Caenorhabditis elegans: one gene and its partner. The protein of the gene in region 2 purifies or fractionates together with the protein of the main gene of each other region. This does not show direct contact. Each region holds a gene or a part of one and is shown on either strand. Other genes may lie near its edges.

Region 1 (5,143 bases), 1.4 Mb from region 2:
TTATGTCAAAACTTATTTTTCCTCAATTTTTTGAGTGTTCTAGTTATTTTGTGAAGATTTGAAAAAATCCAGTTGAATTTATGTAAGAGACTCAATGTAAGCAAAAGCCTAAGCCTAAGCCTAACCATAAGCCTAAGCCTAAACCTAAGCCTAAGCCTAAGCCTAAGCTTAAGCCTAAGCCTACGCCTTAGCTTAAGCCTAAGCCCAAGCCCAAGCCCAAGCCTAAGCCTAAGCCTAAGCCTAAGCCTAAGAATAGGCCTAAGCAAAAAAACAAAAAAAAACAGAAAAATAATCCTCAAAATTCAAATCAAATTTGAAAAAAGGAACATTTAACAAAAATTGTCAATCAAACAGTTCAACATACAAAAATGAGAGAGACAGATCAGGGGAAAAGAGCACACACTCTTGCTCAAAAATCCTACATTTCTCACTCTCTTTTCATCTCCACAAATTTCGCGTTCCATTTCGTCCACTAGGTCAACAAGAAAAAACGTCGACGCACGCAAAAAAATGAGCTCATTTTTTAGTTTTAAACCATACTGGTTTTAAACACAAAAATACTGTTCACAATAATTTCAGCCTTTCAAAAATTTGATCTGTGTACCTACGTTCGCGGGCGCGCGAAAAAAGGACGAGATGGAGATTTTGGGCTCTTTCTCTCGAGAAAAAACAACAGTCTCTGTTTCTATTTGTTTCCTTCTCCTCCTCCTCCTTCTATCCCAAATACCATTTTTCCTGCAAAAAAAAGACGAAAAAAGAGAACAGACGGACATAAGAAGAGCACACACAAAAACGGTACGAGCTCTTGCTGCTGCGAAAGGGAGTTTTTGCGGGGCTGCTTACGATCGAAAAGTGCACATTTCTACAGAGACCATATTGAGACCGGATAAAAACAAATTAAATTTTTATGGAGAAAATTCACGGCGGAAAAGTCGAGGAAAAGCTTGAGCTTGATCACTTTTTGGTCTCGTTGAACTTTTCAAACTTTTTGTTTGCTTTTTAGAGCACAGATTTTTGAACGAAGCCTACTTGCTTTCAGAGATTTCCGGCAAAAAGGTGGAATACAGTCATTTTTAAATTTTGCTTAAATTGTTAGAACAAGAAAAAAAATTTTGTAAAAAATTCCAACAATTTCAAAATTTTTTATGATAAAAAAACGCCTAAATTGAATTTGAATTCCCGCGCAAACAAACCAAAATTTTTTCGTTTTCTGGAAAAATAGTTGTATCCTTTTTTTCTTTTGTAGCCGACTCAAAATATCTTTAAATTCAAAAAGCTAAGCCTAAGCCTTAGAATAAGCCTCAGCCTAAACCTAATACTAAGCCTAAGCCTCAGCCTGAGCCAAAGCCTAACCTTAAGCCTAAAACTAAGCCTAAGCCTAAGCCTAAGCATAAGCATGAGCCTAAAGTAAGCCTATCTATCATTTAAAGCAATATTTCAATTATTTTCAAAACTATATTCTGAACAAAAAACTCCAATAAAAAAGGTACCTGTCTGCCTGCCTCAAGCTTGCGTATCTATTGGGATGTACTTAAAAGCACCTTGCAAGGCAGGCACGTAAGAAGGCAAGCATGACGTTTTTAAAAAAATTATTTATTAAAATGCATTCATTAAAAAATTGAGTAATTTTTTCTCCGTGTTTAGGCAAAACAAAACTAATGAAATTAAAAATGTTTCAAAATTTCAAAATTGTTTTCTAGTTCGAAAAAAGTGCGGAACACTTCTACGAAAAAACACCCCCTGTCCCCTGTCCATAGCCCCCGAATGCATTTCTAACTAGATTTCAAAAATGTTTCTTTTTCACCCTCGTTTGAATGTGTTCCCTATGCAAACCTGTGGATATCTTCCAAATTGTGAAAACATATGATGTGGCAGGAGAGAATTCTGATGGAAGTTCAGTAGATCCGCTGAAAATTGAATTGAATTAGTTATGATTTGCCGAAAATCTGGATGGTCAGGTACATTGGGGGTACGTTTGAACTGGTACATAAAAATGGGAAAGACACGTGGTTTAGAGAAATGACACGATTTTTAAAATGTAGAAAATTACTTTCAAAGTCACCATCAAAAGTGAATGGAAATAAATCGGGGCTCCATGAGCAGTCTGCAGAAAATTTTTCATTTTTTAGGGTTAGGTTTAGGCTTAGACTCAGGCTTAGGCCCAGGCTTTAGTTTAGGCTTAGACTTAGACTTAGGCTTAGGCCTAGGCTTAGGCATAGGCTTAGGCTTAGGCTTAGGCTAAGGCTTATGCTCAAGCTTAGGCTAAGGAATATGCTTGAACTTTGGTTTAGGTTTAGGCTTATGCTTAGGCTTAGTCTTAGGGTCAGGCTTAGGCTTGGATTTGGGCCTAGGCTTACTAGGCTCACTCGGGAATATATTGACTTAGAAGTACGATAAAAGTTTATCTTCTTTTTGTACGGGTAGATGAAGTAATTGGCTACTAGAGTCTAAAATAATATCTTACCGACGACCTTCGGAAGACCTGGGCTCAGGTTCAGGCTTGGATTTGGACCTAGACATGGGATTTTTCTTAGGCTTTGTCTAAAGTTCAGTTCTTTGATTTAAGCATAGGCGCAGGCTCAATCTCAGTTTTAAGTTTTCTGCTATCAAAATTGATCGCATTTTCTATTCTTTGAAGATACAGAAATTGAATTTAAATGAAATTTTCGAAACAAAAGCTTTGATAAATCTACCTTGATTAAAATGCGGAAACGGGTTTGTCGATGAAGCAGCAGTTGCCGAGTCAATGGAGTGTTGCGACAAAGCCATATTCAAATTAGTGATCGAATGATGTGCTGGTGTGGATCCAGTTGATCCGGTCACATTGTCCGAGTTGGCACCGTCCGTTGAGTCAGTGCCGTCGGTTGACCGACTTGATGATCTCACTGAAACTTTAACTTTATTTTTTATGATCAGTTTCTTGAAATAATCAAATCCTCACAGTTTGTTCCAACACCAAAATGGGTGGTAGATCCGGAGCCAGTGGTGGTTCCAGCTATTCCAGAGTCCACTGGAGAGTTGAATGCCGAATCTAGAACAGTTTGATCCATTGCGTTGAAGAAGTTGGCTTGATCCTCGCGAAGCTGAAAGGAAAGTATATATTTCTTTATAGATTAAATGCCTAAAACATCTACTTGGATTAATTTTTATTCTCAACTTTGATTATAGCTTATATCTCAGTTGTGGTTTTCTTCGACTAAAAAATAGGCAACTAACAAAATATTCGTAAAATCTTTTTCTACCATTTCCTAGTTAATACAGTAACCCATCGGCTGTAAAATTAAATATTACCTGGCTCCAAAAATTTTGGGAAGACCCATAAAAATTACACGGCCACATTGCTAATAATCTACACTTTGAGAAAAAAAAATACTATAGGAAAAAGTTAATTAACAGAGGTGGGGCCTAAAAACTCATACTCATACCGTAATCGGAAAACACGGCAGGTGGTCTATGTTGATTTTTTTTTGTTTTTGCATAGACTTGGATTTCACAAGTCGAGGAACAACATACTGCACCTGCCCCGAAGTACGGCGGTGAAACTTGGAAAGTGTAGCATTATTGTACCTAACGAATACTTTAATCTAATGAAATTCAAGACAAGAAAAAAATCTCCTAAAACCATGTGACCCAAAGAAGAACTGAAAGATTTCTTATATGCCCTTTGTCTACTCCTTTCGATTCCCTTTTACTCGGTTCCGATTACACGTGCCCACCACCTGCCACGAAACGTTCGAATTCACTTTTTTTCCCGTTTCATTTTAGTCGGTCTCTCCATTTCGAGACACAACTCATAAATATGGAAAAGTGCACAGTGCACACAGCTGTGCAAGTTTTGAAATATGTACAGCAGATTTGAAGAGGGATTGGGGTGAAAGTTAGCGGGTTTTCGTGAAGCCGCCTAAGCAGTTTAGAATACTGTAAAAGGAGCAGGCGAAAAATAGCGTCAAGAATTTGGAAACCTCTTTTTGAGATGTCCTTATCAGGGCTGGGCGGAAATTGCCGGTTTGCCGATTTGCCGAAAATTTTAATTTCCGGCAATTTGCCGGTTGCCGGTTTGCCGGTTTGCCAAAAATTTTCGTTTCAGGCAATTTACCGTCTTGCCGATTTGCCGTAAATTTTGAATTTCGGCAAATTTCAGGTTTGCAGTTTGCCGAACATCTATTTGCCAGAAGTTTTTAGAGGGATTTTTAGTAAGACGGAAACATTGTGACTTTTTGAATTTTTTCCCGTTTTCTTTATATATTTGCATAGAATTTGCTTACTTTTCAGAATAGATGTAGGATGATCATAGGATGCGTATAAATTTGCCGATAAAAATTGAATTTCTGAAATTTTCAAAAAAAAATGTGTGTGCAAAACCACAATTTGCCGAAAATTTTCGGCAAATCGGCAATTTTCCGGTTGCTGATTTGCCGGGCCATTTCTATTCCGGCAATGCTCCGATTTGCCGGAAATAATCGTTTTTCTTTTTGTTAATAATTTCTCATTCTCTCCCCCCAACCTCTACCCCAAACTTCCCCAACTCTCCATACCTACCGTTATCACCAGCACTAGCATGTTTCAAGAAAGTCCCCAAATACATTTTCAGTAGATCGTAAAAACTATAAGGTTTTTACGAGTTGTGCCACCACGCTACCGTACTAGTAGTGATGAAACAACTGATAAAATGTAGAGAGACACTTGTAATATACACTTTAATTGCCCACTGGAGAGCAGTCTGAAACCATATGGAGCCGCCGAACCTAGAGCTCTGATTATTTTATGGTTCAGGTCAAAAATTACAGTGTCTGGAGCCAAGTGAACTATGAATTAGGACTCTGTTGTCTCTAGTCCAAAAATTCAAAAGTTTTTGGCCTGGAAAGAGTAGATTTTTAGACGACAGAGTTTGGAGCAATTCATAATAGAACTTATGTTTATCACAGGTAGGCACCATAGGCTGGCGAGGCAGGCATAGGCAGGCAAACAAACTCACAATATTTCTGCTCCAAATTCGCACAGTTTCAGGTTACCCAAGCCTTGGTTCCAGTATTAGATATTTGATATCTAGTAGGTGTGTCGATTTGATCGAATAGTTTGATTATAGTTCCAATATTTAGTAGGCTCTTTTCAGAAAAGAGTAAAAACGGAGTTGGACTCCAAG
Region 2 (7,684 bases):
ACCGGAAAATTTGAAAATTTGATCTATTCAGAAAAATCTTTGAATTTTTTGAATTTTCACTGCATTAAATGCAAAATTTTTGTGAAAATCCTATGGGCTTTTCGCTTCGAGACCCAAAAATTTATAAAAGCAATCAACTTGCAATGCATTGGATGCGAAATTGAAGTTTTTCAGTTTTGAATTCAAATTTCTTTCTCAATAGAGCAAGACAAACATATTAAATATTTTTAAAAAATTGGAAAATGGAAAAAAAAATTATATTTAAATTATCTAATTGGGGGCGGGGCCGTGGGCGTTGGTTTTGGAACCGAACTGTGTTTAGACTCCCATTATATGAGAGCTTGGCATTGGTTTTTGAAAAACCGCCGGAAAAATGGGGGGTTTTTTGAAAACTAGACAAAAAAGTGATAGGAAGAGAAGGAAATTATATGACTCCGAGCGAAGGGGGCGGGAATTTAAATTTAAATTCAAATTCCCGCCTTGTGGGGTACAATAGAGCGTGTTTAGAATGAGAGAATTTTCGAAAACTAATGAGAATCACAGGAAACCGACCAGCGGGAGGTGTTGCAAAGATCACGAGGAAAACAAAAAATATGGAAATCCGAGCTTCAAGATTCCGGGAGCTCACCCTTCATTTTTTCGATTATCGCCGCCCATGCTTCCGGTGGAATTGGTGGCTGAAAAAAATCGATAATCAAAAAATGTTATTGTTCAAATGCAAAGTTTTATGGTTTTTGGTCTCGACATGACTGAAATAATTTGAAGAAAAAAGGGTATGCGTCTTTAAAATTACAGTAACCGTGTTGTATTGCTACTTTTTCACATTTTTTCTCTTTTACTACATTTTGCATATCGTTCACAAAAATGAAAAAACGGGAAAAAATCGAAGAAAATTGAAAAGCTGCAAGGTGGGAAGACTACTGTACGTACTCTTTAAAGGCGCACAGCATTTTTGATTTAAATTTTTTCATTTTTAATTCGTGTCGAGACCAGGTACGGTATTTTTGCATTAAAAGTAACGAACAATTTAAATGTGCCTACCCTTTCTTCCTCCTTAAAAGCACCTGAAGAACTGGACGGTTGTTCATCGAATTCCGATTCTTGAGGGGGCGGAGAGTTGCCCGGCGAGCTTATCGGACTATGCAAATCAGCTGGATCACATGGTCGTTTTCTACTTTTTGCATAGTTATATCCAGCATCTTTGACAATTTGTCGAGCCAACGGAAACAGCTCATCCCGTCGTGTCAAAAGAGACGGAACGAGAAGACATAGCTGAGCAGCTGCTTCATTTACAGTTGTCTCATGAAGTGTCAAAACTTTATGGGGCTTCCGTTTAGTGTCAAAACGTCCGTAAATTGCAGAATACTTGCGAAACGCGTGGATCATTGATGGAGTTGCTGGAGAGCATTTGAGGAGTTCTATGACTTCTCTGAAATTTCAAAAAATTATAAAATAGTCTGAATCCATTCTGACTCACTTTGAAACTCGTTTCTTATTCTGCACCAACCTCGGCGGAAGTGGCGGGAGATTCTTGGAAGCCGCCAGAGCACACTCAGCGAGACGGGATATTTGAGCAGTTGATAGAGTCGGATTTTCAGTTAGTGATGGATTATCTGGAAAATTAATTTTAACATTGAAGTTTTTCTTTTATAAAAGCTTTCACAGCAGTGTTTCTTTTCAGGTAAACTATGACATGGCACCTTTTCTATACTGTAAGATTACTGTAGGATTATTGTAGTTTCAGAAAAACTGAGTTATTTTTATGGAGACGGATATGGGCGAGGCAATCTTGTAAAACTGTAGGTTACTGTAGGAGTACTGTAGGACTATTGATTTTTTTTAGAAAACTGAGCTTTGGGTTTTTGAAAGATCGGTGAGTTGAGGTTAGTGAAAAGGTTACTGTAGTAGCATTTAATAGACTTTTCAAAAAAACAATTTTTTTTTGTCTTTTGACACTTTTTTTTACCAAGTCCTACTATGATTATTTTCGGCTAGAGCATAAACTTTAGAAAAACGAACTTGGATCAAAATCTCCCAATGAAACGAAATCATTGCCATATGGTTGTGAATAACCAACACCTAAAAAAGGAGAGGACGACCCCTCTTTTTCTTGGCCGGTGATGGACGATGATCGTCCAAATGAAGTGGATGGTTGTTGAATGGATGTGCTAGATGGAGGGACGACGAGGTGGCGTGTAACGCTTGCTGCACCACTAAAATTGAGGCCAATGCTGTTTCCGGAGAATACGTTGGCGGTGGCTCTCGATGATGGTGGCGGAACTGCGGCGGAGACATTGGTGGTGGTGGCGGGGAGGATTCCAGCAGGGAGCTCAGGGTGGGATGTGTTTGAGCTGGTTGAGGGGAGCACGCTTCGAACAGATGAGGTGGATGATGACTGTTGATCAGAGGCCAGAGACTCGAGTAGAGGAGTGGAGAACTTGAACGCTGAAATTTTGGGATTCGTTGAGTTGAGGGAATATTCAAAAATCGCTTAAAATCATGAATGGGACAGTATAAGCACAAGTATAACACAAACTGAGTATGCTAATCTACGCGCTGAATATAGTGCATTGATGAAGCCTTGGAGTCGGTGCTAACTTAATTTCGATCTTTGTAACACATGTTGGTAATTGAAGCGGTACAATTAGTTCAATTTAGAAAAAAACAAAAAAAAACTCAAAAATGTGAACCATTATTTTACTATTTCATAACAAATATCTCAAAAACTTAAAATAAAGAACTAAAAACAAAAATTGTGCATTATGGACATGCGTGTGCTACCAAACGCCCAGCGACAAAGACTAACCCAACGGTACCGAATTCGACGATGTCGTGTTCAGATTCAGTGACGGAGACGATGATGACGTGTCTGCTGCTTCGGATGGTGTCGAAACTTTTTCAGCAACTGACGACAGCTGACTCAAAAATCGGAGACTCGGGAATTTCGGCGACGTGGCAGCGGCGATTCCGGGTAGCAGAAGAGCCATCGGATCAGTACCCGCAGGTGTGTAGTTCAGTGGTGGTGGTGGACCGATTTGTTGAAGAGCTGCCAGGTTGAATGCAGTCTGATCCTGACTATACTCAGCAAGTGCTCTCTGCATCCGCCGGACATGAAGAGGCTTCGGAAGCATTCCCACAAGATTCATAATTTCCAGAAATTCTCTCTCCTCGCATGCCATGATCTGATTGATATCGTCGCCACCTGAAACAAATTTACCTTATAATAGAAAATTCACAAAGAAGAATCCTTACCTTGTGCTATGAAAACATCATAGTACTGAACTAAATTCGCTTTGCTCAGTACAGCCAACAATTGCCACTCGGATAGAGTCGTTGGTGTCGGCATCGGTTTGGGAGAACTAAAAAATTTCATAAATACTTTCCCTTATCACCAGAAATCGATAAAAATGATTGACTTACACAGGGCGATCTGCATTGCTGGTTGATTGACGTTGTGATGATGATGATGAAGAGGTGGGTATTGATGAAGTGGATTGAGTTGTAAGAGATGATAAAATTGATGGAGAAGATGAAGACGAGCTAAGTATGGACTCCAAGTGATGTGCTAGAATTTTACTAATTTTTCTGATGTCCTGATCGTCGGGACTTACATGCTGATGGTCTTGATGTGATCGACGAAGTCGTTGTTGACGCAGATGATGTGGGTAACGACGACGACGACGATGATGACATGATGCCTTCTGAAGGCACACAAGTTGAGGTACGCTCCCAATCCAGATCGACGGAAGGGCAGCGGCTATCGAATAGCCTCAGTATCCTGAAAATGAGTTGTTGAATATGAGATTCTGGAGTCTACTACAGAACTAGTACTTTTTGTCTCAAAGCAAAGGAGATTCAGGAGAAACTTTTCGGCAACAACTCGGTAAAATATAAAAAAAAGCTGTTGATAGGCAGTTGCTAGGTAATTTTTTTAACATCAAAATGTCGTTGGAAAGTTGCAAAAGTTCGACAGGAAGTTGTAAACTGTCAAAGTTTTACAGGACGCTGCCTCCAAAACCTCCGAGCCAAGTTGGTATATATTATTTTTATAATCAACTACAGAAAACACACTGATTGTATGCTTAAAGAGAAAATATCAAACAATTATTAGAAGGTACGTGTAAACTACTAGAAATTAAATATTGTAAGCTGATTTATATTTTTCCCAGAATGAAAATTAATTGAAAAATGCTGAACTACTGTATTAACTGCTTTACAACACTGTAGGTTCCCTATCGAAGTCATAAAAAAGGTTTGCAAAAAAGGTTAGAATAGAGTGAAGAAGAGAAGAAAATGGGAACATATCGACACAGAAAAGAGAGTGGTATGGCCCCCGATCCCTGTTCAAAAAACCCCAGCGTCCGCCTATCTACATCCCTGACGAAATAGTGTCTTAAACTAAGAGTGCACCCATACATCTAACTATAGGTCAAAAAAACTCGGCGGCGCGCCCGGACGCAAACGACGACACAAGAAACATAGAAAAACCGGCAAACCATTGGGCGAGAAAAAGCGTTTAAAACATAGAGACACAGAGACAATCCTACAAAAAACGTCTCTCGCCACTGGGCTTCTTCGGTCGTTCGGACGCGGGACGGACCGGGAGGTGAGAATGGAGAAATAGGAGGGAGGGAATAGTACGGGAATCGGGGGAGATTTAGAGAGAAAAAGAACCGATGAAAAAACCAAAGAGGCGTCGTTCGATTATTATTTGAAATGTTCGGTTTACTATGCGAACGATTGAGGTGACTGTGTGTGTGTATACACAGGATGGGCTTGGGAGGAACGGGACAAAAAAGTGACCTTTGTTGACAAGTGGATGTCTGGGGATACGAAAGTTCAAAATTTACAGTAATCGGGGTCAGACTTCAGAGAGATTTTGGTAGCTTATCTCCTATATCTATTAACTTCTGACTAACAGAAATACTTTCAAGTTTTGGTGTTTCTTACCGATATGATAAAATATTTAGGCGGATAGTTTTCTTCCTGTTTGGACAAATAGATGTCTAGAAGCTATAAGAGCATACTAATCAAAACTCAAGCTCCTCCTCCTTCTTCCAATTCAGCTGTTCTCATCCAACAGTACCACCATCTGTTTGACCTCTTCTTCACCTCGTTCCATCGCTTTTTCCAACTGAAAAACCGCTCCGAAAACGTCCTTTTCGAGGCTGGCGCGCGCACGCTCATTCTTCTAGCAAAAAAAGCCCCCATGAAATTGTCTGCACATGTCCATGAATTGATGAAAATAGTGTAGACATGGGAGGAGATGCGCGCAGTATGAGGTGAACAGAAAAAAAATTGGGAAGCGATGAAGGGAGAGAAGGTCGACGACGAACAGGCGGATGGGACACAACGGGGAATAGGTGGGAGGTTCGAGAAAAAAATGGGAGAAATGGAGAAAATAGACATAAAGTGAAGAGTGACATTCATAACTAATAATCTAGAAGTTACAGTATCTCCCAACGGACGAAACTAGTGATCTCCGGCAATTCTGGAAACTGTCCGAGCTCGGTCGATTCGGCAAGTACTACATCAGGGGTGTGCGTCAAATTCGCCGAGTTTGTCGTTTGCCGAATTTGCCGAGCCGACAAATTTTAAAAATGTGGATTAGCTGATTTTGCCAAATTTGCCGTGCTCGGCAAATACTAAAAAAGTCCATTGTCAAATTTGCCACACTCCTGACACGGAGGCCTTATAGTTAGTTTCTGAACTCTAGACCTCCTAGTCAAACAAATCAAAACTAAGGCTTTGGTGGAAGGCAGGCGCGTTTTCAGATCCTGGTGCATGCCTGAGACCTGCCTGCCTTCCGTTCTTTTCTCATTTCAGTCAATTTGATAGTTAAAAAAAGAAAAAACTAAAAACCTTACCTGATACAGTTCTAACTCCGCAGACGACGAAAACGGGATGACGTGGTTCTCTACCGACGAAACCATTCAGCCCGTGTCTCCGAATATCATTCGCGTCTGGCGCCGCACAAGGTCCGGGCACGACCGGGTCAGGAGGCTGTGGAACAGTGAGGCCGGGGTCTATAATAAAAAAGTGGTTGGATAGAGGTGGAGGTGATAACTGATAATATGCAACGCTAGAAAAAAAGGAAAAAAATTAAGAGAACATAGGTCAACTGGAGGGGGGAACACGCGTGCGTTGAAAAAAAAGCAAAGGCATTGAGAAATCGAGAGGAACAGAGGAACAGACAGAGCCAGAATAGTGCAGCCACACTCTATATTCTCTCTGCAATCTCTCATCTTCTCCATACTATTTCTCATTCAGTGATATCAGCAGTGGCGCGGCGTCTTCTCAGCGGCGGTGGTACCGGTCGCGGACACCCAGGGCAGAATTGCCCGGGGGGGCGCAAGTGACCCCCACAGACCACGGGGGGACGCATGAGGGAAAAAATGGCTGGCACTGCCTGGGGGCGACGGCAGTGTTGCTGCACAAAAAGTGCGTCTACACTCTCTTCGCTTTACTTGCTCTTTCTGCACTTTTTCTGCTGCCCTCGGCCGCGTCCATTTTTTGTGTGTTACTGGCAGCGGTACCAGTCCGGTGCCGACCCAAGGAGCCCAAAGGTCTCTGGAAGAGCAATTGATATGATCAGAAGCAGTGGAAGGCATGAAGAGCAGTTGAAGAAGGGGGATTCAAGTTGGTGTTTGGGATAGTGAGACTTTTTTTAAACCGCTGAATCACTGGAGAAGTACTACATGAGTACTGTAGACTGTATATGTGATGTTGTATATGTTATTGATATGAGTACTGTTGAGTACAGTAAGGCCGCAAAATTATTTTGAAACTCATCTTATTCGATTTTTTTTTCAGAATTCACCAAAACAAATGTGTGGTGGAATTCAATAATGTTCGTAACTTCAAAAGAGGATTTTATCAAAAGTTGCCAAATATATTTTGTTAAAAGCGTTTTTTCGGCGAAAAGGTTGCTGAAATACTTGTATTCTAAAAATCATTAGTATAATTTGAACATGTTTTCAAACAAAAGTATAATTCGTTACAGTAATGCCAAGATTGAATCCTGGAAAACACCTTCTTTCATAAAAATGAAAATTTTGAAAAATGGTTTTTACTGATTCGTAGAACAAAATTGTAAGCAGATGGCGTGGTTCTTGAAACTTCTGGATTAATCCATCTGAAAAAATTCCGACTGATGATTTTGATAATGTGTTGTTTGATCAAAAAACGAAATGGAACTGATGCTTTAGGATTTTTCTAATTTCATCTCACTGCAAAATATACAGAATCTATTGTATTTGGAGTAGTAAACAATTTGATTGTTATAGTTTTTACAAAAAAATATTTTGAAAATTCTGGAAAGTTGGTAACTAAGAGTTTCTTCACAGTTTTATCTTCAGAAACTTTGAGGGCTCATCGTGAGATTGGTTCTGGAAACTCGTATTTAGAAGTTCATAAACTTGTGGGATGTTGATATGTTTGCATGGCAGAATGCAAGAGGATTTGGTGGAATTGAGGTATGTATCAACACGTTTTTTAAAATAAAATCAAAACATTTTCAGACAAAATGTTAGTTTTCAGACAGCATAACTTCCATGTTATGTACCTACCTTCTTCTGACGTATCAAATTCTACTATTCAATTGTACGGAGAACCCTCAACGTTGCCTTACAGTTAGTGGGGTGCTTCATTACCCATATACACTTGAAAGTGCTCTAGTTTTTTA

What was found.
Region 1: the proteins of mab-10 (region 2) and lin-29 purify together in Caenorhabditis elegans (affinity purification with western blotting, with the first as the bait; one study listed by BioGRID). This does not show direct contact.

Annotation. Positions count from the first base shown.
Region 1 is NC_003280.10:11,930,175-11,935,317, forward strand, and holds the start of lin-29 (C2H2-type domain-containing protein), read right to left. Parts: upstream 3,051-5,143; coding exon 2,942-3,050; intron 2,892-2,941; coding exon 2,694-2,891; intron 1,908-2,693; coding exon 1,834-1,907; intron 1-1,833. UniProt on the Caenorhabditis elegans protein: Transcription factor which regulates the expression of various genes, including those involved in cuticle synthesis and maintenance, such as collagens, and in lipid metabolism.
Region 2 is NC_003280.10:10,526,431-10,534,114, reverse strand, and holds the start of mab-10 (NAB transcription cofactor mab-10), read right to left. Parts: upstream 6,032-7,684; 5' UTR 5,868-6,031; intron 4,743-5,867; exon of another isoform or gene 4,317-4,742; intron 3,779-4,316; 5' UTR 3,694-3,778; coding exon 3,612-3,693; intron 3,566-3,611; coding exon 3,421-3,565; intron 3,360-3,420; coding exon 3,253-3,359; intron 3,203-3,252; coding exon 2,807-3,202; intron 2,446-2,806; coding exon 2,020-2,445; intron 1,614-2,019; coding exon 1,478-1,613; intron 1,430-1,477; coding exon 1,042-1,429; intron 678-1,041; coding exon 609-677; 3' UTR 1-608. UniProt on the Caenorhabditis elegans protein: Transcriptional cofactor. Heterochronic protein, involved in timing of a subset of differentiation events during the larval-to-adult transition.